Linked DNA regions of Rattus norvegicus. The protein of the gene in region 3 binds, or shares a complex with, the protein of the main gene of each other region. Links are inferred from orthologs where the notes say so. Each region holds a gene or a part of one and is shown on either strand. Other genes may lie near its edges.

The links.
Region 1: Bnip1 (region 3) and Vti1b share a complex: the UniProt entries of both Homo sapiens proteins name them as parts of the SNARE complex. The link is inferred for Rattus norvegicus from reciprocal best matches to the Homo sapiens genes BNIP1 and VTI1B.
Region 2: Bnip1 (region 3) and Bet1l share a complex: the UniProt entries of both Homo sapiens proteins name them as parts of the SNARE complex. The link is inferred for Rattus norvegicus from reciprocal best matches to the Homo sapiens genes BNIP1 and BET1L.
Region 4: Bnip1 (region 3) and Vamp7 share a complex: the UniProt entries of both Homo sapiens proteins name them as parts of the SNARE complex. The link is inferred for Rattus norvegicus from reciprocal best matches to the Homo sapiens genes BNIP1 and VAMP7.

The regions. Positions count from the first base shown.
Region 1 is NC_086024.1:103,694,836-103,700,379, forward strand, and holds the end of Vti1b (vesicle transport through interaction with t-SNAREs homolog 1B), read right to left. Parts: intron 2,498-5,544; coding exon 2,324-2,497; intron 1,401-2,323; coding exon 1,335-1,400; 3' UTR 1,300-1,334; downstream 1-1,299. UniProt on the Homo sapiens protein: V-SNARE that mediates vesicle transport pathways through interactions with t-SNAREs on the target membrane. These interactions are proposed to mediate aspects of the specificity of vesicle trafficking and to promote fusion of the lipid bilayers.
Region 2 is NC_086019.1:205,360,777-205,366,453, forward strand, and holds Bet1l (BET1-like protein), read right to left. Parts: upstream 3,931-5,677; 5' UTR 3,772-3,930; intron 3,127-3,771; 5' UTR 3,017-3,126; coding exon 2,998-3,016; intron 1,949-2,997; coding exon 1,857-1,948; intron 1,633-1,856; coding exon 1,576-1,632; intron 1,435-1,575; coding exon 1,267-1,434; 3' UTR 265-1,266; downstream 1-264. Other genes in the region: Ric8a (synembryn-A), read left to right, coding at 4,251-4,334, 4,623-4,670, 4,760-5,350, 5,647-5,677. UniProt on the Homo sapiens protein: Vesicle SNARE required for targeting and fusion of retrograde transport vesicles with the Golgi complex. Required for the integrity of the Golgi complex.
Region 3 is NC_086028.1:16,899,901-16,905,669, reverse strand, and holds the start of Bnip1 (vesicle transport protein SEC20), read left to right. Parts: upstream 1-2,108; 5' UTR 2,109-2,119; coding exon 2,120-2,203; intron 2,204-5,272; coding exon 5,273-5,365; intron 5,366-5,769. UniProt on the Homo sapiens protein: As part of a SNARE complex may be involved in endoplasmic reticulum membranes fusion and be required for the maintenance of endoplasmic reticulum organization. Also plays a role in apoptosis.
Region 4 is NC_086030.1:21,848,069-21,853,259, reverse strand, and holds part of Vamp7 (vesicle-associated membrane protein 7), read right to left. Parts: intron 4,212-5,191; 5' UTR 4,203-4,211; coding exon 4,057-4,202; intron 217-4,056; coding exon 159-216; intron 1-158. UniProt on the Homo sapiens protein: Involved in the targeting and/or fusion of transport vesicles to their target membrane during transport of proteins from the early endosome to the lysosome. Required for heterotypic fusion of late endosomes with lysosomes and homotypic lysosomal fusion.

The DNA.
Region 1 (5,544 bases), on a different chromosome or scaffold from region 3:
ACAAATACTAAAACATATGAATGACTTCTTGACTCTAAAAAAATCCTCCCCTTGTCCTGCTGTTTTAAATATGGTCCTATCAGCCATGCATTCGCTATGAGTGCATGTTGGAAACAAGGTTTGGGGCACACTTTTTTTTTTTTTTTTTTTTTTTTTTTTTTTTGGTTTTTTTCGGAGCTGGGGACCGAACCCAGGGCCTTGCGCTTCCTAGGTAAGCGCTCTACCACTGAGCTAAATCCCCAGCCCCTGGGGCACACTTTTTAGTGTCAAAGTTAATTTAAGCTCATGGATGGTCCTGTTTTTAGGATGAGCAACTAAGCCCCTGAGAACTGCTTTTCAGTGTCTTGTAGATTCTCCCTTCTTACTCTTCCCTGTTTCTCCCTCTGCTCCACTACCTGAGCAGTCACTCTCCAAACAATTTACTTCAGACTGTCATCTGGTTTCTCCTTCTGTAAAGAAGGACTTACTAGTGTTTGGGGAGGGTCTACTCCCACTGCTCATCCTACGAATGGATTACTGTGGATCGCTGAAGCTCTTGCTTGCTCATGCACCAAGGACATGCCACACTAGGTACCCAGCTTAGCCCCAATGTCACGACCTCCCTTCGGCCTTGCTTTTACTGCAGTTACAACTTACCTCAAGGTTGGTTTTAGTGTTTTAAATTAGTGAGCACAGGTGAGTGTGTGCTCTCACAAGTCCACTTGTGGCAGTAAGAGGACAACTCGGGATGGCTCTCTCCCATCAACTGTCAGGCTCACGCCACAGCCACCTGACCTGCTGCTAGCTTGCTCTTGTTTTTGTTATTTTTAAATACTTCTTGCTAACAAGACAGGACGTCCCAAAAGGGCCTGCCATGCAAGGCAAGAACTAAGTACTATCCATGCTCACAGGTCAGGTGTTTACAAACATGTTCCAGGGAGCAGAGAGCTCTTCTTAGTTCCTTAGGTCTCTTCTAAGAGACAGAAACTGGGATTGACATTGGTCAGTAGACAGGTTTTCCACTACTTTATGTTGGAACAATCTATGAATTTAACAAAGACCTCATCCTCAGATATTTAACTATATAAACTATAATATAATAGAGAATATCTTCTCCTTCGGTTGGTGAATGCCTAGAGGAGTGCTTGGGTAGCACTAAGGTAATTTATCAGGGTGTTTGTTAAGTTACTGGTCTAAGCTCTCTATATTTCTTAGTTGAAATATATTGAATATCAAGAATTTGTGGGGGTTGGGGATTTAGCTCAGTGGTAGAGCGCTTGCCTAGCAAGTGCAAGGCCCTGGGTTCGGTCCTCAGCTCCAAGAAAAAAAAAAAGAATTTGTGGGTTTCTTGAAACTTACTTTCTGGACATAGAGCGAAGAATCTTTCGGCTTTTGCTTAAGTTTTCATTTGTGTTTACCAGCTGAAAAAGAAAATAACAGATCATTTCTTCTTCCTTTCAAAAAAACTTATATAATTTGAACATGGGCATTAAAAAGGTCTATAATTCCAGTTCCAGGGGATCTGATACCCTAACACAGACTTATAATATATGTAGTCAAAACAGCAATGCACATAAAATAAAAATAAATCTTAAAAACACCCCACAGAAATATAGGAATATGCTTTTGTTTTAGTCCCAGGTATGGGATATAGGGATACTTCAGGTTGTTCACAGCAGCTGACTTTGATTGCTTTGTGCAGGGGTGTGATAGTCTGTGATTGTGAGATATTTGGAATTCTGGGGACTTTTCAGAGTCCCCAGAAGCAGGATGGGTTGGCTTTTGTTGGTTGGTGGTTGCTGGTCATGATTTCTCAAGAAGTTATGCACAAAGAGATGAGAAGAAATTAGATATCTTGATGAAGATCAAACTTGCCACAAGAAACTCAATCCCCCTAATCAGCAGGAAGTAGCCTAACTATAACATCACCCCCTTTCTTTTCTTTTTTCTTTCCTATCTAGTGTTAGGGGGTTGAAAGGGTGGAAAAGGGTAGAAGAAAAACTCACAAAATAGCAAAAGACCAGTTACACCACCATATTAAGAAAGGATTTCTTAAAATACTGGCTGGCCAACAAATTCCAAAGATCCAACTATTTCTAATCCTCACCCCCAAACTCTGGGGTTCCAAACCCATGAGCATCTGTATTGATCTTTATTGACAGACCCATCTCCCTTAGCTCTGTACAAGTACTTCTAATGCGGAATCTTTCAGCTGAGGAATTTAAAACTTGTGAAAAGGGGAGGCGGGCTGTTATTCCCAGAAGTCAGAACTGGTGTAGTGTCTGGCCTTAGTGTGGTATCTGGGTATGAGGACCCCCCTACTTTACACATTGCCCAGACTTACTCTACTCTTGGTACGTTCCAACTGGTCTCGTTGCTCCCCCAACTCTTCTATGATTTCTGAACCAATTTGGTCAGTTTCTGCGGCAATCCGATGAGAACGCTCAATGCTTTGGGTGGCTCGGTTCAGGCTTTCAGTGCCTTGCAGAAGTAATGCTCTTTGAGACTGCAGCCGATTCTGATAGCAGTAAGGAAGAAAAATGTTAGCTACTTCTGTTATAAATTTATTGTCAGTTATTCCTTGTGGCTTTCTTCTTATGTACAAGGATACAGTAAACCATCATTTCCCTAGCTTTTCCTTTCTGTCTGCAGGGCACTGATTCTAGGGCACTCCTGCTGAGGTCCTATGTGTAAAATAGTAGTCTGCATATAACATGTACATATCCTCCTAATACATTAAATCATCATTAGATTACTGATACCTGAGAAAAGGTAAATATTATGTATATTTATTGTTCAAGAGAATCATGGCAAGAACATCAAAAGATGTTCAGCAAATAAAAACATTTGTAAAGCTTTATGGGTACCAGAAGAGGGTATCGGATCCTTCAGAATTGGAATTTTTTGAGACAGGGTCCTACAGTGTAGTTCTGGCTAACCTAGAACTTACTATGTACACCAGCCTGGCTTCAACTCCCAGAGATCCATCTGTCTCTGCCTTCCACGTGCTAGGATGAAAAGCTAGGTGCTACCATGCCTGGATAGATGTAATATTAAAAAAAAAAAACAAAACATTTTCAATCCAAAGCTGACTGAAGAGTGCTTTTAAAATTGAATCAAAAATTCTAATGAAAAATAAGATCCTGTTCAAGGTCAGGATTAAAGCAGGCAGATTCCACTTCCCTTAAGACTTCTGAAAAAATAATGAAAAAGAATTGGAGCATTTCCCCTGTGAACCAGTTAAAATCCATTAACATGTAACTGGCTATTAGCAACTTCAGTCAGCATCCAGACTGAGTGAGAAGGTAGTAGTGTGTGCAAAAATGACCTAATAATGCAATTAGCTTGTAACTTTAAAACTCTCTGCTTAAGCATTTATTCATTTTTGTTTTTTAAGGCGGCCTCACTGTAACTGAAGTTGAATTCAAACTCATCATGACTGTCCTGGCTCAATGTCCACGTGCTGGGACTGTAAATGTGTGCCATCATGCCTGGCTTGCCTTACACTTCAACAGTGCCACAAGTAAACAACGAGCTTCCAAAACACTAGAAACTAACTAATTCACTCAAGTTCCCACTTGGCTGGTGCTGATGTAGAGACCATAAATAACGTATTCTTTCTCAGCTCAGAAGTCATTAAGAACTAGAGACATTGGTGCATTCTTAAAAAAACTTCCATGGCCATGAGTGGCTCATGCCCAACAGCACTCTCAAGTTATCACCATGCTGGTGATTGTTCACAGGGAAGGGAGAGTCTGGACCTCACTCGAGCTTCCCTAGCTTCCCAAGAACTCTTACTCTTCACTGAAATTTTCTCTCTCTAAACACAGCATGACAACAAAATCGGCCCAGGTCAGGCCAGAATGAGTAGTGATGGACAGGGGTTCAGCTCAGAATTTACTACAGAGCAGGTGGCAAATGGCAGAAGATCTCATCAGCAATCAGATTCTGAAGCCAAGCACTGAGGAGGCAGAGACAGGCAGATCTGAGCTCCAGGATAGTCAGGGCTACATAGAGAAATCCTGCATCCAAAAATAAATAAATAAATAAAAAATAAATAAATTAGCCTCTTGGGCCGGGATGGTGGTGCACAAGTTTAATCCCAGCACCCACAGAGAGGCAGAGGCAAAAGGATTTTTGTGAGTTCAAGGCTAGCCTGAGCTACACTAGGGAGTTCAAGAACTATATACTCTCAAAAAATTTTTTTCTTAAATTAGATTCTTAGAATGTTTATACAGACCAGTAAATAAAGAAACCACCAAGGGTCAAATAAACCCATGCATGTGGTCCTCGTCTGTAATCTTAACACCTAGGAGGCAGATGTGGGAGGACAGCTCTAGCTATGAGGCCAGCCTGGTTCATATAGAGAGGTTCAGTCCAGCAAAAATGGTGCTGATGAGAAGGCTCAGTACCAAGTCTGAAGACCTGAGTTCAGTTATGGGGACTCCTGCATGTGGTCCTTTGACTTCAACACATGTGCTTATGCATATATATATATATATATATATATATATATATATATATATATATGCACATACAAAATAAATAATGTAATAAAGGAGGGCTGGAGCAATGGCTCAGTGATTAGTCCTGGTTGTCTTCCAGAGACCCTGGGTTTAATTCCCAGCACCCACACACTGGCTCACAACCATCTGGAACTCCAGGTTCAGGGGATCAATAGTCTCACCTCGCCTCTGTGAGAACTGCATGCACATGGTGAACATGTAGTCGAACACCTACACACATAAAAATAGGTCTTTGTAAAAACCCACAATTAGCTGAAAGGAAGAAAAAAGATTTCTATATAAAATACACAGAGTTTTAAATGATTAAGCTAAAGAAAGAGCAAGGAAAAGTAACATCCCACAAATCAACCTCCGACAGACATGGGATAATCCTGTGAAGGTATCCATGTTATCTACATTCACCATGGACTTGGGTGAGGTGCTAAGTGCCTTACGGTTCCACATATTCAGGCTGCTGAGTCAGGAGGCTCGACTGGGCATTTAAGGTCAGGCTTAGCATCATGGTAACAATCCTTTCAAGTTGACTTATTGTGTTTTTAAATTAATAAATTTAAAGCAAATGTTTGAACTTGTCAATCCTCTTTTTTTGAGGGGGAAATTAGCCAAAAAAAAAAAATTTTATGAGTGGTTTTTAAGTCTCCGTTTTAACAAATTCTATTTGCCTTTTCAGCCTTCCTTCACAAGTGTCCTCACAGGTATCCATTTCAAAATTGTTTTGTTTTGTTTTTCTCTTCAAAAATTGTGTATAAAATTCAAGAACTCAATATAGGGGCCATTGCTAGGGAAGATAATTCGGCTCTGCTCCAGGTTACCTGCCAAGTAGGGCTGTGCACACCTCGGGGACTTGAGCAAGTGTCTGTAGGTCAGGCTCTAGGCTGGAGCAAAGCTGAGAGCTCCCTGCCCTTGCCTGGATTGGTGGTCTCTGCACAAAGTTCTTCAGTCGGCACTTTGGCAAACAAGGCAACCAGCATCCCATCAGTGTCTGTGACCCGGGCAATGAGTGCTTGCCTACACTGGCACACAAAATGTGCTGCTCTGG
Region 2 (5,677 bases), on a different chromosome or scaffold from region 3:
CACAATGCAATGGCCAAATAAGGTCAACGTGTTCAGAGAAAATGATAAGGGGATGGGTACCTGGTGCTACAGCAAGGCACTGCGACTGGCATTAAGAGGCCAGGGTATGGCAGAATCATACTGGCTTAGAACTCAGAGGTAGTGGTTATGGGCCGATGAGCTACATGTATGGCCTCATAGGTAGAGGGTAAGCCAGTGTAGGGAGAGGGAGAGAGAAGAACACAGACATGAATACAGTCAGAGAAGGGCACGGAACTTCAAGGCTCATTTCTTAAAGACATTTTATGTGAAAACAAAAGGTGCGAGGTCCTGTCGGCCCTGTCAGCTCCGCAAGTCAGTTTGTGTGCAAATGGGGCTGGCCACAGTGGCAGGGAGGGCCGGCAGAGCGGGTGAGTCTATGGAGTTGTGCAACAAGGAGGTGGCTCAATCTCCCTCACAAGGGAGACTGGCTGTACGGGGTAGGGCAAGGTTCAGTACAAGGTCAAGTTCCCACTACACAAATGCTTTCATGGGTGGCCTCCAGCCCCATAAGGATTCCCAGCAGAGAGACCACTCCAGCACTGCCTGACTGAAAGCTACCCAGGGATGGAGGCATCTTTGATACTGGGAAGATTCTCAATGCCAAGGACACACATCTGTGCTCCTGGAAACATGGTCTTACAGCCCAGAAGGATCTTAGACCAGTGCCTCTGGACTGCAGTCTGCTCCTCTATCCACAGTTTGCCTCTTCCCTGGGGTCTGAATTGAGCCAGACTGCACAGGTCCATTCCTGACCAGCAGTCTCAGCCTGGTGTCACTGTCAACCCCATCCCGACGACCATCATTTGGAGAGGGCTCACGGCCACATTCCCTTCTGGTGTCAGCTTCAGACTCTTCAAGAACACGGACATGGTTTAAACCAGACATAAACAGGTTAGAGCACAACAGAAGGCCCTTGAGGAGTGTGGCCACTGGCCACGGTAGGCGCATTCAGCACTCTCAGATGCTCTCAATAGAACTGGCTCATTCTCATACAACATGGCTCTGACTCTGCCAGTGTCTTTAGCACCAGGGAGTAGCACTGGGTTTTGCCTTTTTCTTCTTCCTTCATACACAGGACAAGCCAAGAGGAGCTCGTTACGACAGAGGCAGCCGCAGTCGTCCTGACTTAGGAAGACGAATGACCCGTGATGATAATTTCAAAGGAATATTGTTTCTGTAGTCAGGTCCTTAGGAAGCCAGGATACCAGGTGGACAAGAGTCTGGCTGCCCTTGGCTCCCACTGGCTCACGTCCTTGTCCTCGACAAGAGGTAGGAGAGGATGAAGAAGGCCACAATTAAGACCACAGCCATACCACACAGAAGCTTCCGGTTGTCTCGCCCAGACCGTGCCACCGTGGAAAAGCGCTTCACACTCCCTGTGAGTAGGCCAGTCACACTTGTGAAATCTGAGTCCTGCGGGAGAGACCCAACGGGATCACATAGAGCTGGGATCTGTGACGGCCCAACTGTACTAGCGCTGAAGGGTTAGAGGCAGAAGAGCAGGCGGCATGGGGGTAGAGCTGACTATGATTTGTACGTAATACAGGCACTTACCATGCCATCTAGGTATCGGTTCTGGTCTTCCGTGTCCCTGTCGATGTCCAAAGCCAGCTGGTTGGGATACAGAAGGCACAGTCAAGCAAGGACACAGAGTGCAGTGCCCATCTTCCCTTCAGATTCTGCTAGGTACCTATTACTAGAAAAAGCTAAAAAGGCCAAGGTATTACCTGAAGCATTCCTCAGTCAGCACACCCACGGACAGCATGGCTTCCTTTCTACCCACTCAGCCCCACTCACCAAAGTGTCTCATGGAAGGGAAAAGGGCCACCACTAACCGATTTAAGCCTGGTGACCTTAGAGGCCAGGCTGTCAGCCATCCGCTTGTTCTCTCTGTCTAGAATCTCCTCCACAGCACCAGAACTCTGAGCTGCAAGACAAAGAGGCTGAAGGGTAGAATTCACTCATAAATGTGGTCCTTGGCTCCTTGCTCCAGTGGAGCCTGGCCTGGTGAGACCTCTAAGGGCATTCCACCCATATCCTTCTGCTCACTTAGCATGTTCCACCCTATGTTCCAACAGGTAGACCACCTACACACCAGACAGGAAGCATGGGTCATGGGAGTACTTGTGTGCAATGCCCAGGCAGAGACAGGGAACCAGCAGGTCAATCTACACTACCCTGTTGTATACTGTTCCTGGACCAAAATGAATATTGCCTTAGCTGAAATCACCATCTGAGAGTATGGGACAGGTCTCAATCTGGTAGGGATTATAGGGAAAACAGAACAGAACAACAAAGCAGGTGACAGGAAGGCTGTGTGGGGATGACTTAGGAATCAAGTCCAAGGTAAGTGTAAGAAAGGCCTTTTACTGTAGAAACTACCAATCCCTACTGCTACAACCCACACAGGATCTCTAGAAGCCCCAGAGCACTCTCCTGTGGAAACCTTACTCCGACGGACAGAGACTAGACATGAAGAATTTCTGTCACGGTATGTAGTTGAGAATCACCTGCCTAAGTGTGACTGGCACTGGTCTGAAGCATAAAAATCCAGCCTCGATATGACCCACCTAAGGGGAAAGCCAGCAGCACCAGCAAACAGGGGCGACCAGACTCTAAAAGACAGACGGCTGTGTCCTACCAACCACTACATAGTTAGTATAGTAGAAGCCTCAGTATCACAACTGTCAGACTGAACACAGGCACGGGGGCGGAGGGTGTGTGTGAAACGAGGCACTTGAGCCCTGTAAGTCCCTGCTTGGACCTTCTGCTTCCAGCCCTTGGCATCAACCATACACACAAACTGATGTCATGCCGGCTTGGGTTCCAAGGCAGTGCCAGTTGAAATCTGGCCCTGTTTTTCCTGGAATACGTAAGCGCCATCCCACGCAGATCCCTCCACCGAGGAAAAATTGATGGCTCGTACTCCAGACTTAGACCTTGCCTCCTATCCCAACTACCTTCAGGTGCGCTCACCTCGAGTCCAATCTGCCATCGCGCCTTCCGAGGTCCCACTCGGGGAGTAGGCAACACAGCGACGGACGTGGCACCACTACCTGGGTCTTCCGGTTCCGCCTCAGGTCTAATAACTTCCGGGAGAAGAGTCTGAAGCGGAAGAAACAGACTTGTAGTTCTACACTGGAATGTAAATAAGGGAAGGGCGGGCCGCCAGCATTCGGGCCTACGGATTGGTCAGCAGTATTAGTCCCGCGCTGTGGGTATTACCCGGAGCAGGAGCTCAGACCCCAACCTGGAGCCGAGGGTCGGGTACCTCGGGCGCTGCAAAGTCCCCAAGTGAGAACGACAGGATGGGGAGGACGAGCAGAAGCGAAAGAGACTGGCAAAGGACCTGACACTGAGTAGAGGCAAGCGCCGGTTAGCACAGCGGGCGGCATTATCCTCTGGAACATTGCTTGTGTCACCGTGGGGTGCACCGACTCTGCCTTAAGCTAAGTGGCATGCAGACCTGGCTCCCCACTATACAACGTTCCTACGCTTCTAACCCCAGACACGCCGCGGCTAGCCGCCCCTCCGTTGCTCCTCCCGCGGGAGTCGCTTTTCCACCGGTGTTCTTCACTTCCTTCTCTCCGATCCTTCCTCATACACTCTGCAATTGCCCTTTTCTTTTGATAACCACATTATTTTGGTGGTTTGGTTTTTTGATTGTTTTTAGATAGGTCTGCCCGTTTCTGCCTCTCGAGTGCTGAAATTTAAAAAAGCGTGCGTTACTATGCCCGGCTAACCACGTACATTATTTTGACCATCCAAGTCGTACTTCTCTTTCCTTATTTCCCGTGGAAGATGAGCATCAGGAAGATGACCGCGAGAATCGTCTTCCCCAACTGACTAAGCGGCCAGGAGCCGGCGCTCCCTCTTTTATCACAGTACGGGAACAAGAGTGTAAGGAGAAAGGTTTACGCGCCGGCCAAGCCACACCCCACTCCCCACCCCCGCCCGCCAGGAAGTCGGGCTAGAGAGAAGGGCTCAAAAGGAGGATACTGCTTAGTTAGCTAGCATCGCTGCTCCAAGACAAGCCGCTCAGCGGCCACAGCCGGGTTGCTCCACCTTAAGCCGGAGGCCAGCCCCGCGCCTGTACACACCCTAGGCTCGGCTGTTCTCCCAGCATTCCTCACGCGTGGACGCTGGGCTTCCGGACCTGGGCGGAGTCCCCGGGTTTGGCCGATTGCGTCTTCCCAGCCCAAGTCTTCTAGCACCCCGTGCCAGGGGCCATGGAGCCCCGGGCAGTTGCGGATGCCTTGGAGACGGGAGAGGAAGATGCGGTGACAGAAGCTCTGCGGTCGTTTAACCGAGAGGTGAGAGGCATCCAGCTGCCGAGGAAATTGCAGGAAGTGAGGAAGCAGCCGGTTGCTCGCCACTCGGCTGGGGTGTGCGTGCGAGTGTGGCAGGGAGCAGGGCGGTGGGTGGTGGGCTGGGCCACGGCGGTGCCTCTGTGGTAGTCAGGTGTATGGGTGGCGAGGGTGGGCCTTGCTTTACGTACACAGCGATGGCTGCTGCTTCAGAGGTAGAAGCAGACCTGCTGCTTCTCGAGGAGCACAGGTCCTACCTGCGTGTGGAACTGAGCTTCCTGGGTCTCCCTGCAGCATTCCCAGAGCTTCACCTTCGATGATGCACAGCAGGAGGACAGGAAGGTAGGTGTCAGCCCAAGGGGGTTCCTAGGGCAAGCACGGGCTGCCCCAAGAAGAGGGCCTAGTGGAACCATTTTTGTCCCTTCCCACAGAGACTCGCAAAGCTGCTGGTCTCCGTACTGGAGCAGGGCTTGTCACCAAAACACCGTGTCACCTGGCTGCAGACTATCCGAATCCTATCCCGAGACCGCAGCTGCCTGGACTCATTTGCTAGCCGCCAGAGTTTACACGCACTAGCCTGCTATGCCGACATTGCCATCTCAGAGGAGCCCATCCCACAGCCCCCAGACATGGATGTCCTCCTCGAGTCTCTCAAATGCCTGTGTAATCTTGTGCTCAGCAGTCCTACAGCACAGATGCTAGCAGCAGAGGCTCGACTGGTGGTGAGGCTAGCGGAACGTGTGGGACTGTACCGCAAAAGGAGCTATCCCCACGAAGTCCAGTTCTTTGACTTAAGGCTCCTTTTCCTGCTAACAGCCCTTCGCACTGATGTGCGCCAGCAGCTGTTTCAGGAGCTGCATGGCGTGCGCCTGCTGACCGATGCGCTGGAACTGACATTGGGTGTGGCCCCCAAAGAAAACCCTCTGGTGATACTTCCAGCCCAAGAGACAGAGCGGGCCATGGAAATCCTCAAAGTGCTCTTTAACATCACCTACGACTCTGTTAAGAGGGAGGTTGATGAGGTAGGTTGTAGTCTGAAGTCAATGGGTGGGACTCAGCTCAGCTGGGGCATTTTGTGGGTTTGCTTCCCTGTGTGCCTCAAGTTGCAGGGTGTCGGATATGGCAAGGACTAGAGGACAATCTAGGCAGGAACTCAAGGTTTCTGAGCTGTGTTGTGCATGGGGCTGGGGACGGGTATTCTCCATAATGCTTCAGGTGACCAAGTGTGCTGTGGACAGGGCCTAGTGATCACCATGTGGCCTTGGGTCATAAGAATAGGGTCTTATTCTCACGGGAGCCCCTTTCCGTCTTTGGCTAGGAGGACGCTGCCCTTTACCGGTACCTGGGGA
Region 3 (5,769 bases):
CGTCTGAAATAAACAGAAACACAGCATGGTCCATGTGGCTCCAGAACCAAGGTGAAACAAATAGGGCCCTTGTTTAGTGTTGGAGCCACTGAGTAACCTAGAAAATGAGAAGTTGGTTCTGCATCTCACACTATGAAGCAAATATATTAAAAATGGCTAAGGATACAAGTGTTTTTACAAAAGTGTAAGCACTAGAAGGGGATGTGGACAATCCTAAATCCTTGTAGAAAGGACTTTAAAACACAGACCCAAGTCCAAGAGTCATAAAGATCTGCCAAATTTAAATCCTCTTTAAGGTAAAAAAACAAAAAACAAAAAACAAAAAAAACCAAACCACCCATCAGCAAAGTCAAAAGTCTACAAATTTTGCAACTCGTGAATACTAATACAAAAAGGGAACCTGGAAACTAATACGGAATAGCTTGATGACCCAGTAGGAAAATGAGCAAAGTAAACGTGATACCTTTGAAACGTTTCTCAGTCTCATTCATTATGAGAGATGCAAAAAGAAAGAGACTACACCAAGCTGGTGGGGCTAAAGGAAACAGGCGTTTCCACAATGTTGCTGGTGCAACGTAAACTGATATAACCAGTATGACGAAACAGGGCTCTACACCACAGTCCTGGCTGGTCTGGAACTTACTATATCGACTAGGCTGGCTTGGAAGTCGTGGGGGCTCTCCCTGCCTCTACTTCTTGAGTGCTGGGATAGTCATGTGCCACTCCACCCAGATAGAAAGGATATATAGGAAAGTTGTGTAGAGCTAAAATACGGGTCTGGCAGCTGTGGTGTTCATCAGTACCTATAATTCCAGCAGTTGGGAGATTGAGGCAAGAAGATCAACAGTTCTAGGTCATCCTTGGCAGGTGGAAACCAGCTTGGGCTACATGAGACCCTATATGGCAGAAGCACTTAGAAAATGGCTGCACATAGGGAAGTGTTCCCAGAGTGCGGCTTGGCAGTACATGAACAGAAACTAGCAAGCATTGAGTTCAATACTATGGGTTATCAGCGGTGTCCTACCTCATTCCGCCCTCCAGGGGACCTTAGGAGTGATGGATGCTACTGATGATGGAATTCTTCTGGGAATAACTAGAGCCAGGCTGCTGACTACTAGGCTGGAATCCAGGCTCTCGTTAGCTGCAGTGAGCTATTGAGCACCTTTTAGGAAATGGGTGGTACAGGGTGCTTTGGACCAGAAAGGCATGTGTGGAGACTGACTTGTAGGGGCTGTGTGTGCAGTTTGAGAAAAACATTTTCAAAAGAGGGAACCCCACACCCAAGACTACAGAGCCTGGAGAATCCCAGAAGGTGGGGGAAAGGAAAGTGGCCAATGGTGTGAGGACTTACTAAGAAATAATTTTAAAAAGCACTACCCTTCTTTGAGGTTTGCACTGACATTGTTTCTACTAAAACTACATTGCACAATCAGAATTACTCCTTCGAGATAATTGGAATTCAATTCTACACAAAGGGCAGAACCATAGCCATAGAAATGTGTGAGGAAGGCAGTGTAGATTCTGAATATAAGAAAGCCCCAGGGTACGGTCATACTAATGGAGGTGCCCCAGTGACCTGTATTTAATTCTGCATCTTTACAAACTTTGTGTCTTACTCCGTAATTCATACTTTCTGTAGAAATTTCGCTTTAAATTTTAAAGGAAAAAAACCCTACAACTTTGGTGACATCCTAATTGGTCCTTTTTTCCTATTCAAAATGTCACTAGAATAGCTGGTCTCTGAATGATGGAAAGTGCCCACTGTTTAGCAAGGGTGGGCGTGGGGGTTGTTTCCTTAGTACTGGGAACAAAACTGAAGGCCTTATGGCAGGCCAGCCCATCACCTGAGTTGTAATCCAAGCCCGCCCCCGCCTCTCCACCCCAACCCTAATGGTTCTTCATAATCACAATTCACTTTTCCGTTTAGTAGGAGCAGCCCAGAGAAGTTGTGCGTGTTCTACGAGTCAAGGAAAGTTCCAGGTCTGGGCTGGCGACCTGGTTTGATCTACACCGGATCTCCCCTCCGCACCACAATCGGAGAGATTCGGAAAGGCGGGCAGGCGCCACGCGAACGCGCTTCAGCTTGGCTGCCGCCGCTCGCCGTAGCCGCGTTTCCAACATGGCGGCCCCCCAGGATGTCCACGTCCGAATCTGTAACCAGGAGATTGTCAAATTCGACCTGGAGGTGAAGGCACTTATCCAGGTACATATTAGTAGGCTCCTGTCCGGCTCTCGATTGCTGCCTTGGCATTTTCCAGGACATTCACGCCCGGTCCAGCCTCCCAGGCCCGCAGTCCCTCTCCAGGATGGCTCCTCGAGCACCACTCGGTCGGTTCCCGGAGAACACTGACCTTCAGCGCGTTTCTTTTGCGTACTGTTGATTTGGCCAAATCTGGAGTAGCCTAACACGCCGCTCTTGTCCCTTGGACTGAAGTGGTTCTGGGGGCTACCCGAAGTCTCGGAGGTAGCCCCGCCCTCCCCCTCCCCCCGCCCTGCCCCTCTCCCACGCCCACTTCCCTGAGTTAGGGACCCGGAGGGCACCCAAGGCCACCTGACGCGGGAGTTCTGGCCCAAGCTAACTTAACCTAGGACGTGGTTGTAATTTTTTGAACGAAGAATTCAAATATTGTGCTAAGTTCTGGGTCAGAAGGCAGGCAGTGCCAGTACTAGGACCTGGATGGGGAAAACCAGCCTAGGAAAAGCATTTTAGAGCTTCCCTATCCGGTTGAACAGACCGGAAAGTGAGGCGCTTATCTGGAAGCAGGTGTAAGTAGAGACTGTGGCGCGTAAGAAATCGAACACGGGCACGAAAAGGGAATGTAGAAATGACTCCAGAGTTTGGCAAAAAGAACCCAATCGGCTCAGGATACAAGCTGTGACAGCAAATAAGAATTGGGTAGGGGTACGGCTCTGCACTTGCTTAGCGCTGCGTTCCATCCCCAGTGCTGCAAATGGGTTGTGCCTGGCTGCTGGCCTAAGCTTTGTTTTGCGAGCCCCTGTAAAAAGGAGGGTGGGGAGTAGTATTCTCTGCTAAGCCAGATGTACACTGTACCACATTAATAGTCTCCGATGGTGTGAGGAAGTGTGATTTCATGAGTAAGCCTAGAGAACGAGTGAAGAAACGCTGCAAACTTTACATCTCTCCCACTTCACTCCTAAGATGTGTAAATAAAAAATATTTGGGCCACTTATAGAAAAATAAACAAGATTGGGTTTATACAAGCGAGATTACCAGAGGCTGGGGGTTAAATTTAGTTGAGTGTAGAGTTAAAGGTTATCCATGTGCAAGGCTCTGGTTTCAGTCCTCAGAATGCATCTATGAAAACATATACATACGTAAAACAAAATTGCTAGTATGGTGGCTCTAGCTAGCACTTGGGAAGCATAGGCAGGATCACCATGCATTTGAGGCCAACCCATACTACACAGAGTGATCTGTCTTCAAAAAAAAAACCCTTACATTCAAAATTTTGAAAAGTTGTGTTTTCATATTATATCATAGTATGAAATTATATAATATCATAAAACTTTGTATTTTCATAAAATTTTCTGTTAGCTAGGTCTCTTGTGACCTATGTGTTTTGGGTCCTTACAGTTACTAATGAGTACGCATAGCCCTGTACATTGTATTCTTATGGTGCTCCAGTTGTTCTGTCAAGTGTTCTAGGCAGACCGATCTTGAGAAAGGTAAGATAAAGAAATGGAGGCACAGAGAACTTAAGTGCTCCAAGATTTCACTGATAAATTGCTCTAACCTGGATTTGAATATACACAGCCTAAGTCTAGAGCCTGCTCTAAAACTTGGCTCTCATAAATCTGACTTTCTTTCCAGAAGCAAATTCTCAGTCCGTCTTTAAACATTTTGACATGCAACAGATGGTTTGTAAAATCAGACTAAATTAATTTTGTTCCATGTTACCAGGGATTTAGAGTTGGAAGGATCTGAAGTTTCAGGGTTTTTTTTAGGTGTTCATTTTTGTGGAGCATGGAAGCTGAAGAAGCCTTTCCTAGTGAATACACTTTGTTAAACTTCTAAGTCAAGGTTGAGCTTTACCTGTTTATTTATTACACACATACAATGCGTTCACGAGTGTGAGTGTGTGTGTATGTGTGTGTGTGTGTGTGTGTGTGTGTGTGTGTGTGTGTGTGTGTTTATGTGCATGTTTTGCTGCTGATGAAAGCCAGGGCCCAGAGCATGCTCTGTAAGTGCTGTATCATGAACTATACATTCAGCCTGCTTTTTCCTATTAGGCTTGGTATTAATCTTTTTTTTTAATTTTTTTATTTATATGAATACACTGTAGCTGTCTTCAGACACACTAGAAGGGGGCATCGGATCCCACTACAGATGGTTGTGAGCCACCATGTGGTTGCTGGTGATTGAACTCAGGACCTCTGGTGTTAATCTTAAGAGGGTGAGGAAACTGAAAATGATGGAGAACAGTGTGGGATGATGTCACAGGTGAGGCAGGTACAAGATAGAAGGAGGCCAGGGCTGGGGATTTAGCTCAGTGGTAGAGCGCTTGCCTAGCAAGCACAAGGCCCTGGGTTCGGTCCCCAGCTCCGAAAAATAGAAAAGAAAAAAAAAATAGAAGGAGGCCTGTCATTGGACAAGAAGGAAGGATGGGCGGGAGAAAAATTTGAAGGAAGAGGAGGGGACTGGAAGGACAGGGAGAGAAGCTGTGGCAGGACAATATGGCAGGTGACATTAAGATCCCACGCTGTACCTTTACAGGTTGTTACGAATGTTTTTAAGGGATAGATGTGTATTGGGCTTTGTGTGTTTAGGTGGGCAATTATATCTTATCAATTGGGTCAAAGGTTATTGTGTTGTGTGTTCTTTCATATAGCGATTTAAGTGTAAGAAAGTGTGTGGCGGCTGGTCTGGGCCACTACAGAGTTGGGATGTGTTTCTGGCATGGAAACCTGCCTTGGGAACTAGATAGGTAGAGAGATTGCTGCCAGGCTCAGAGAGAGGCCTTTGGCAATGGGATATAGGATGAAGCAGAGCGGGTGAGACACTTTGCTGACTGAGAATTAAGAAGCAGATATCTTGGGGCACTGCAGTGGTGGACCTAGGGGGGATAAAAGACAACCTTACTTTTTATTTTTTTATATTTTTACAACAACAGAACAGCACTGAGCAGGATGAGGTAGCAAGAGAGCTTGGCCAACCTTAGCTGCGGACTGACTCAGCTCTCTCACTGTGCCAATGAGGCCATTTCATTTCATCGACGGGAGAAAGGCCCCTCATCTCTTCATTGTCTTCTAGGATATTCGAGATTGTTCCGGACCCTTAAGTGAGCTTACCGAACTGAACACTAAGGTGAAAGAAAAGTTTCAACAGTTAAAACACAGGATCCAGGTAAGCGAGGCTGCAGAACCACTCAGTGTTAGCTGAGGGTGGGTGGCAGGGCCGGGAGCTCCGGCCTAGAAGAACTTTCCCTTGAGAGTTGACCAGGTCCTTCACATGCCACCTGGAGAGAGGAGGAAGCATTGTGACACTGAGGGTGACTGCACTATCAAAGTTTGGAACCTGCATGCTCACTCCCTGCTTGAATCCATTGTCAGCGTGTCCCTGGTGTGTCCAGCGCTACGGTGCACAGTAGCCTCCTCCCAGTTTCTGGAGTCACTGCGCTCATCGTGCGCTGGTTTCCACACCTGCCTCTCACTATGGCGCATGTGCGTCTAAAAGCACAAGAGAGTGAGAAGAAGCCATGTGACTAGCAGAGCCATCTCCACTGCTGTGGCCCTGGGATGGGTGCGATG
Region 4 (5,191 bases), on a different chromosome or scaffold from region 3:
ATCAGTGTTTGTCCTAAGATTCTCTTTATAACAAATGCAAAGCAAAGAAAAAAACTGTACTTTTTGTGTCGCTGTTACCCACCCTTCTGTAGAGATGATTGATAATCGGCTACATTCGTACACACAGTGAAACAGCAATAGATCTTCAGGTTACTTACGTCATCCGTGATGCAAAGATACACAATCCTGTCCTGGCAGATGTAGTGAAACAAATAACTGCGGAAGAAAGAAGAAAAGACAGAAAACGTATTGTGGTTTTAAGTATCACCTGCTTTAGTTCTAAGTTCTGGCCACGTATAAGCCAGTTCAGTGTGTCAAACTTCACCATAGCGATTACAAATACAATCCGTTTCCATTTCCCCCCTCCTCATGCATTTCTGTCTTTAGTTAAACTCACAGGAATGAATAAAACATGAAAAAAAGTTCTCTTTCTTGAATATAATCATGTGTGCCGACCATTAAAATGTCAGCTAGAAAAGAACAAATGGATTCTTAAGGCCCAGAGGAGAGATGACGTCTTAGAAGGAACACACAATTAAAATTAATTCCCAGGGGGTCGTAGGTTTTTTTTCCCCCCTTTCTGGTTTTGTTTAGCTTTTTCCCCCCTGCCAACACCTTTGATAGCGAATTCTCTGTGCTTTTGTCCTGCATTCAAGCATCTGCTTTGAGCAAGCGAATGTGCAGGATGATGAGGATACGGATTGTAAAACCATCAGTTCTTGCTTTTTTGGGATCATAGTATAAGGAGTTACAATGCAGTTCGGCAAATAAGTTGATACGTTGTGGTTTTAAGAATTGGAATTGAGGACTGATAAGGAAATTGAGGGTATTCTATAGTACCCTAGGGGCGTAGAGGAAGCAGGTAAGGACATTTACAAAGGGTAAAGGTGATGTATGATTTGAATCCTAAAGAATAAGTAACAGCCATGCAAGGGGTCAGCCGAGAATATACAAATGTGCAGAATGAGGCACTGTAAGGATGTGGATTTGAAAGAGCACATCATAAATATCAGAAAGCAAAATCGGTTCGCATGATGAAAGTTCAGAACATACGGAAAAAAGTAATTGCCTGGACAGATGCCAGCGGGAAAGGAAGTAGAGACTGTATTATACAAAATTTGATAAACTGCCTTGAGAAAAATGAAAAGATTCAAAACGGTTTTGCCTGGGGCAGGGAGTGTTATTCTATTATAATATCCAAAATCAGTATGGAATCAATCCATACCCCACCACCTGAGCTCCAGTGCTACATATGCTTCTGTCTATCATACTTAATATTTTAAAAACTTGTTTTGTCTCCCTGAACAGAATTTTAAAAGCAGGTATGGTAACCATACTCCAATAAAAGGTAAGAACTGTTACAAATATTATGAAGAGACAAAAAAATTAACACTGAGTAATAAACTTTTTACGTACGGATGCAAAACAAATCAAGGACTGGAATAGTAGAAGACAAAGCCATCAAAGAGAAAAATGGAGATATAAGAGGAAGGACGGGCTGACAAACGTGTAGAAGACAGGTAAATATTTGGTGAGGAAGTGAAATATAATCCTTAAGTTTTAGGTTTAGCTGGCCGGGTGTCCAGTGAAAATATCCCATATATACGATGTGGATGTTTTTATTTTGCTATACAGAAGTAAAAGTCATCTTGAGATAACAAATGTAATTATGTGATTGAAATCAGGGTGGAAATCTAAAAAGAAAAAATGTCAGTGATTAAACCCCATCTGACAAACACAGGAGGGGCAGGTGAAGACTTAGAGATCACACTTATGTGAATCCAATTATATAATGTATATCCCTCGTATATTTTCTTCTACTAAAACATATATTGTGCTTATATTTCCTAGCTTCCCTTGTAGCTAGATACAGGTGTGTTACTAAATTTTGGTTCTAATAACACCAGTGGAAGAAATATTCCCTTCTTCGCTCTGAAAGAATTCCATGTTTCCCCTAGCATTTTCCTAGGCACTGATTAGCAACGCATACATTATAAGCATGAAGTGTTTTGAATAAACTAGAAATCCGTACTCACAAGACAGATTATCTAAGCTCTATCACAATCTCTGGGCCCCTAAATCTAAACTGTTAAGGTGTAGATATAAAACCGTTTACATTCCCAAAGATGACAACATATCCTCTGACATTTATAGCAGTCTGGTAGGAATGATCAGGAGTTTCTCTGAGAAAGTAGAATTACCAACTACACCCCATTCCAAATGGCCGTGAAGTATCTGGTCACCAATAATAAGAAATGATTTCTACGTTTCTTGTTATTTTCTTTTTAAAATAAAAGTTTGTAACTCTCATCCTAGTGACCCTGTTCTCATTCTTGGTAGGAGGATGACAACAGGAAAAACAGATGACTTGTTCTGTTTCATTCTTTGTTGTTGTTTTTACGGTCACCAGGCCATAGGACTCCTGGACCAAAGGACTGTACATCACCCAGGAACTATCGACACACAGCAAAACATAGCAACCAGGTGAGTCTTCAGAGTTGGGTATGTTTAATATTTGAGAAGGAAAGTTCATCTGGGTTTTTTGACAGCCAGAGAAGTAAAATGGAGGACTTAAAGGAATCCTCTGCTATAATAAATTCTTCCAGAGTAAGAGCTTTACTTCAGCCTAAGACCACACAGCCAAAGATGGCAGATGGTTCCTAGCCTCCCTTCTAACTAGCTTGGCTACGTGACTATAAGATGAGGAGGGAAAAAAAAAAAAAAAAAAAACGAGAGCAGAAACTTGAAACAGTAAAAAGCAAGGAAACTTCAGATCTGTGCCTTTAGAAACACTGGAAAAATCACGGGGCCATGATAACAATAAGAGAAACTGTTTCTGGCAAAAGTTGGAAGGCGTCGATGGCAGAGCCAACGCAGTAGCTCTGGACCCCTCGTCCCTGGCTGTTTCACATACATTAATTTTATATTTCAGTGTCTTCTCACGGTAGCTTTAACTAAGGTGTGAAAGGGCTTAACTCTGAAAAGCAATAAGGATCCCCTGACATAAGAAGTAATGATGTGGAGATTAAGTATGGAAATATTTTAAGCATCAGCATGGAGAGTTAAGGTATTTTTAACACCATTACTAGGCTTTCCCACTATTAGCATCTGAAGCTCTGGAACCTTGGACTTACACTTTCCTGGATTTACACTCACAGCTGCTGCTCACGATTATTGGTGAGTTGGATGACGGAGTGCAAATCACCCACAAATTCCTTTACTGTGTGGAGACTGCCCATAAATCCTGTGACTCTAGAGAACCCTAACTTATATAGTCATTCAGGAATCACATTGCAATAATAAAATACCTTTATAATTTTATATAAGTCTAGAAAGTTAATATCATCATCATCACCACCACCATCATCACTATTATTATTATCTTCTCTTTACAGTCCAGTCATTCCCCCTACTAGTCTGCCTTCCAAAATGTCCCCATGCCATTACTCCTCCACTGTATCCAAGATGTCCCCAACCTCCACCCACCCCACCAGACTTTATAATTTTATATCACAAGTCAAGAAAGTCATTATTATTATTAATTTTTACAATCCGGTCATTATTGATTATCTGCATTTCTTCTTATGTCAGTTTCACCAGCTAGAGTGCCTATTGATAGCTAAATACTGTATTAATATTTACTAAATGAATGAAAGGAGTTATCATCTGTATTGTTTCACACATCTTAGAAAAGCAATTTTTATAGCTAGCATTTCCATATCTTTCTTGAATATATCATTTCAAGTGACAGAATAAAATAATAAATAAATAAATAAATAGAATAATAATCGTAAGTTAAATTGGTAACAAAACCAGACTTTTTATTGTTTTGAGATAGCGTTTCATTCTGTGGTTTAGGCTGGCCTTGAACTCATAGTGGGATCTAGCAGTAGGACTAGAGACATGAGCCACCATGCCTGGCCTAAAACTAGACATTTCTCAAGCTAGTCAAGTTACCATTTTTGTCAAATGAATCTACCTAGAATCTTGTTTTCTACTGTTTTGACCACAATAAAATTCATTCCTTCCCACAACCTCATGCAGGTCAGAACTCACTTGCCATGAGAGTAAGTTAGTTTATTATTTTCAGAAGGTATCTTAGCCAGAATCTGCTCTGTCACCTCCAGGAAGTTTCCTCCACACCAAGCATGTTTGGCAAGAATAGTGGTTCCCCTGGCAACAACGGCAAAAAGAATGGCCATGACTTCAATCTATTAAGAGTAAAAAAAAAGGACACAGATTTAGAATATTACTCAGGCACGAATTTTTTTTAAATTTTTAATTGTTTTTTAATTGTGTATTTCTTATTTACATCTCAAATGTTATTCCCTTTCCCAGTTTCCTGTCCATAAGCTCCCTAATCCCTCTCCCTCCCCATTTATAAGGCTGTTCCCCTCCCTATCCCCCCTCCTGAACACCTCTCCCCACTCATGTATCTACATCCATCTAGAGAAAGCACTGAACAAAAATCATTATAGCACAGAAATTAATGCAAACTTAATAGGAAGTGGGGCACAGCTCGGTGGTATAAAGTATGCTTCCTGCACTTATAGACCCGAGTTTCGACCTCTTAAATGAGGAGAAAAGTGAATGACCTTCTACAAGTTTGTGACTTAAACTGCTTCTAGTTACAAATTAATGTGCACATGGGCTGTATTTACAGATTATATAGCAGAAACCAATGCTCTTTCAAAAGCAATGATCATATATAGCAAAGCGGCTTAGAGATGCCACCACAGTTTGATGAAATAATTTCAACCTGAAAACTTATCCTAGGGAAATAATTCAGCAGAGACTAGACTCCGGATTCACAGAGATCACTGTTAACAATCACATTGACTCATATTTATTAAGCACTCACCTTGTAACAGATACTAGTTTAAGTATTTAAAAAAAAACCCAGAGGCACTGACTCCTTAACTATTTTACACAAGATTACAGAGCTAGAACGATACAGTCATTTAAACCCAGACAGTGTGATTCTAGAACCCACATGACGGTACAGAACTAATAATATGAATATTATATGATCTATGCCTATATGATAATTACTTTTAATATAAAAGCAACCAAATGAAATTCACCCAAACCTTCCAAAAGAGCGATTTATAATTCATGTTAGAATCTTCATAAACAGAAATATTATCAAACAAAAGGGCATGAGTTCAAAATTACTTTCCTGATATTTGGA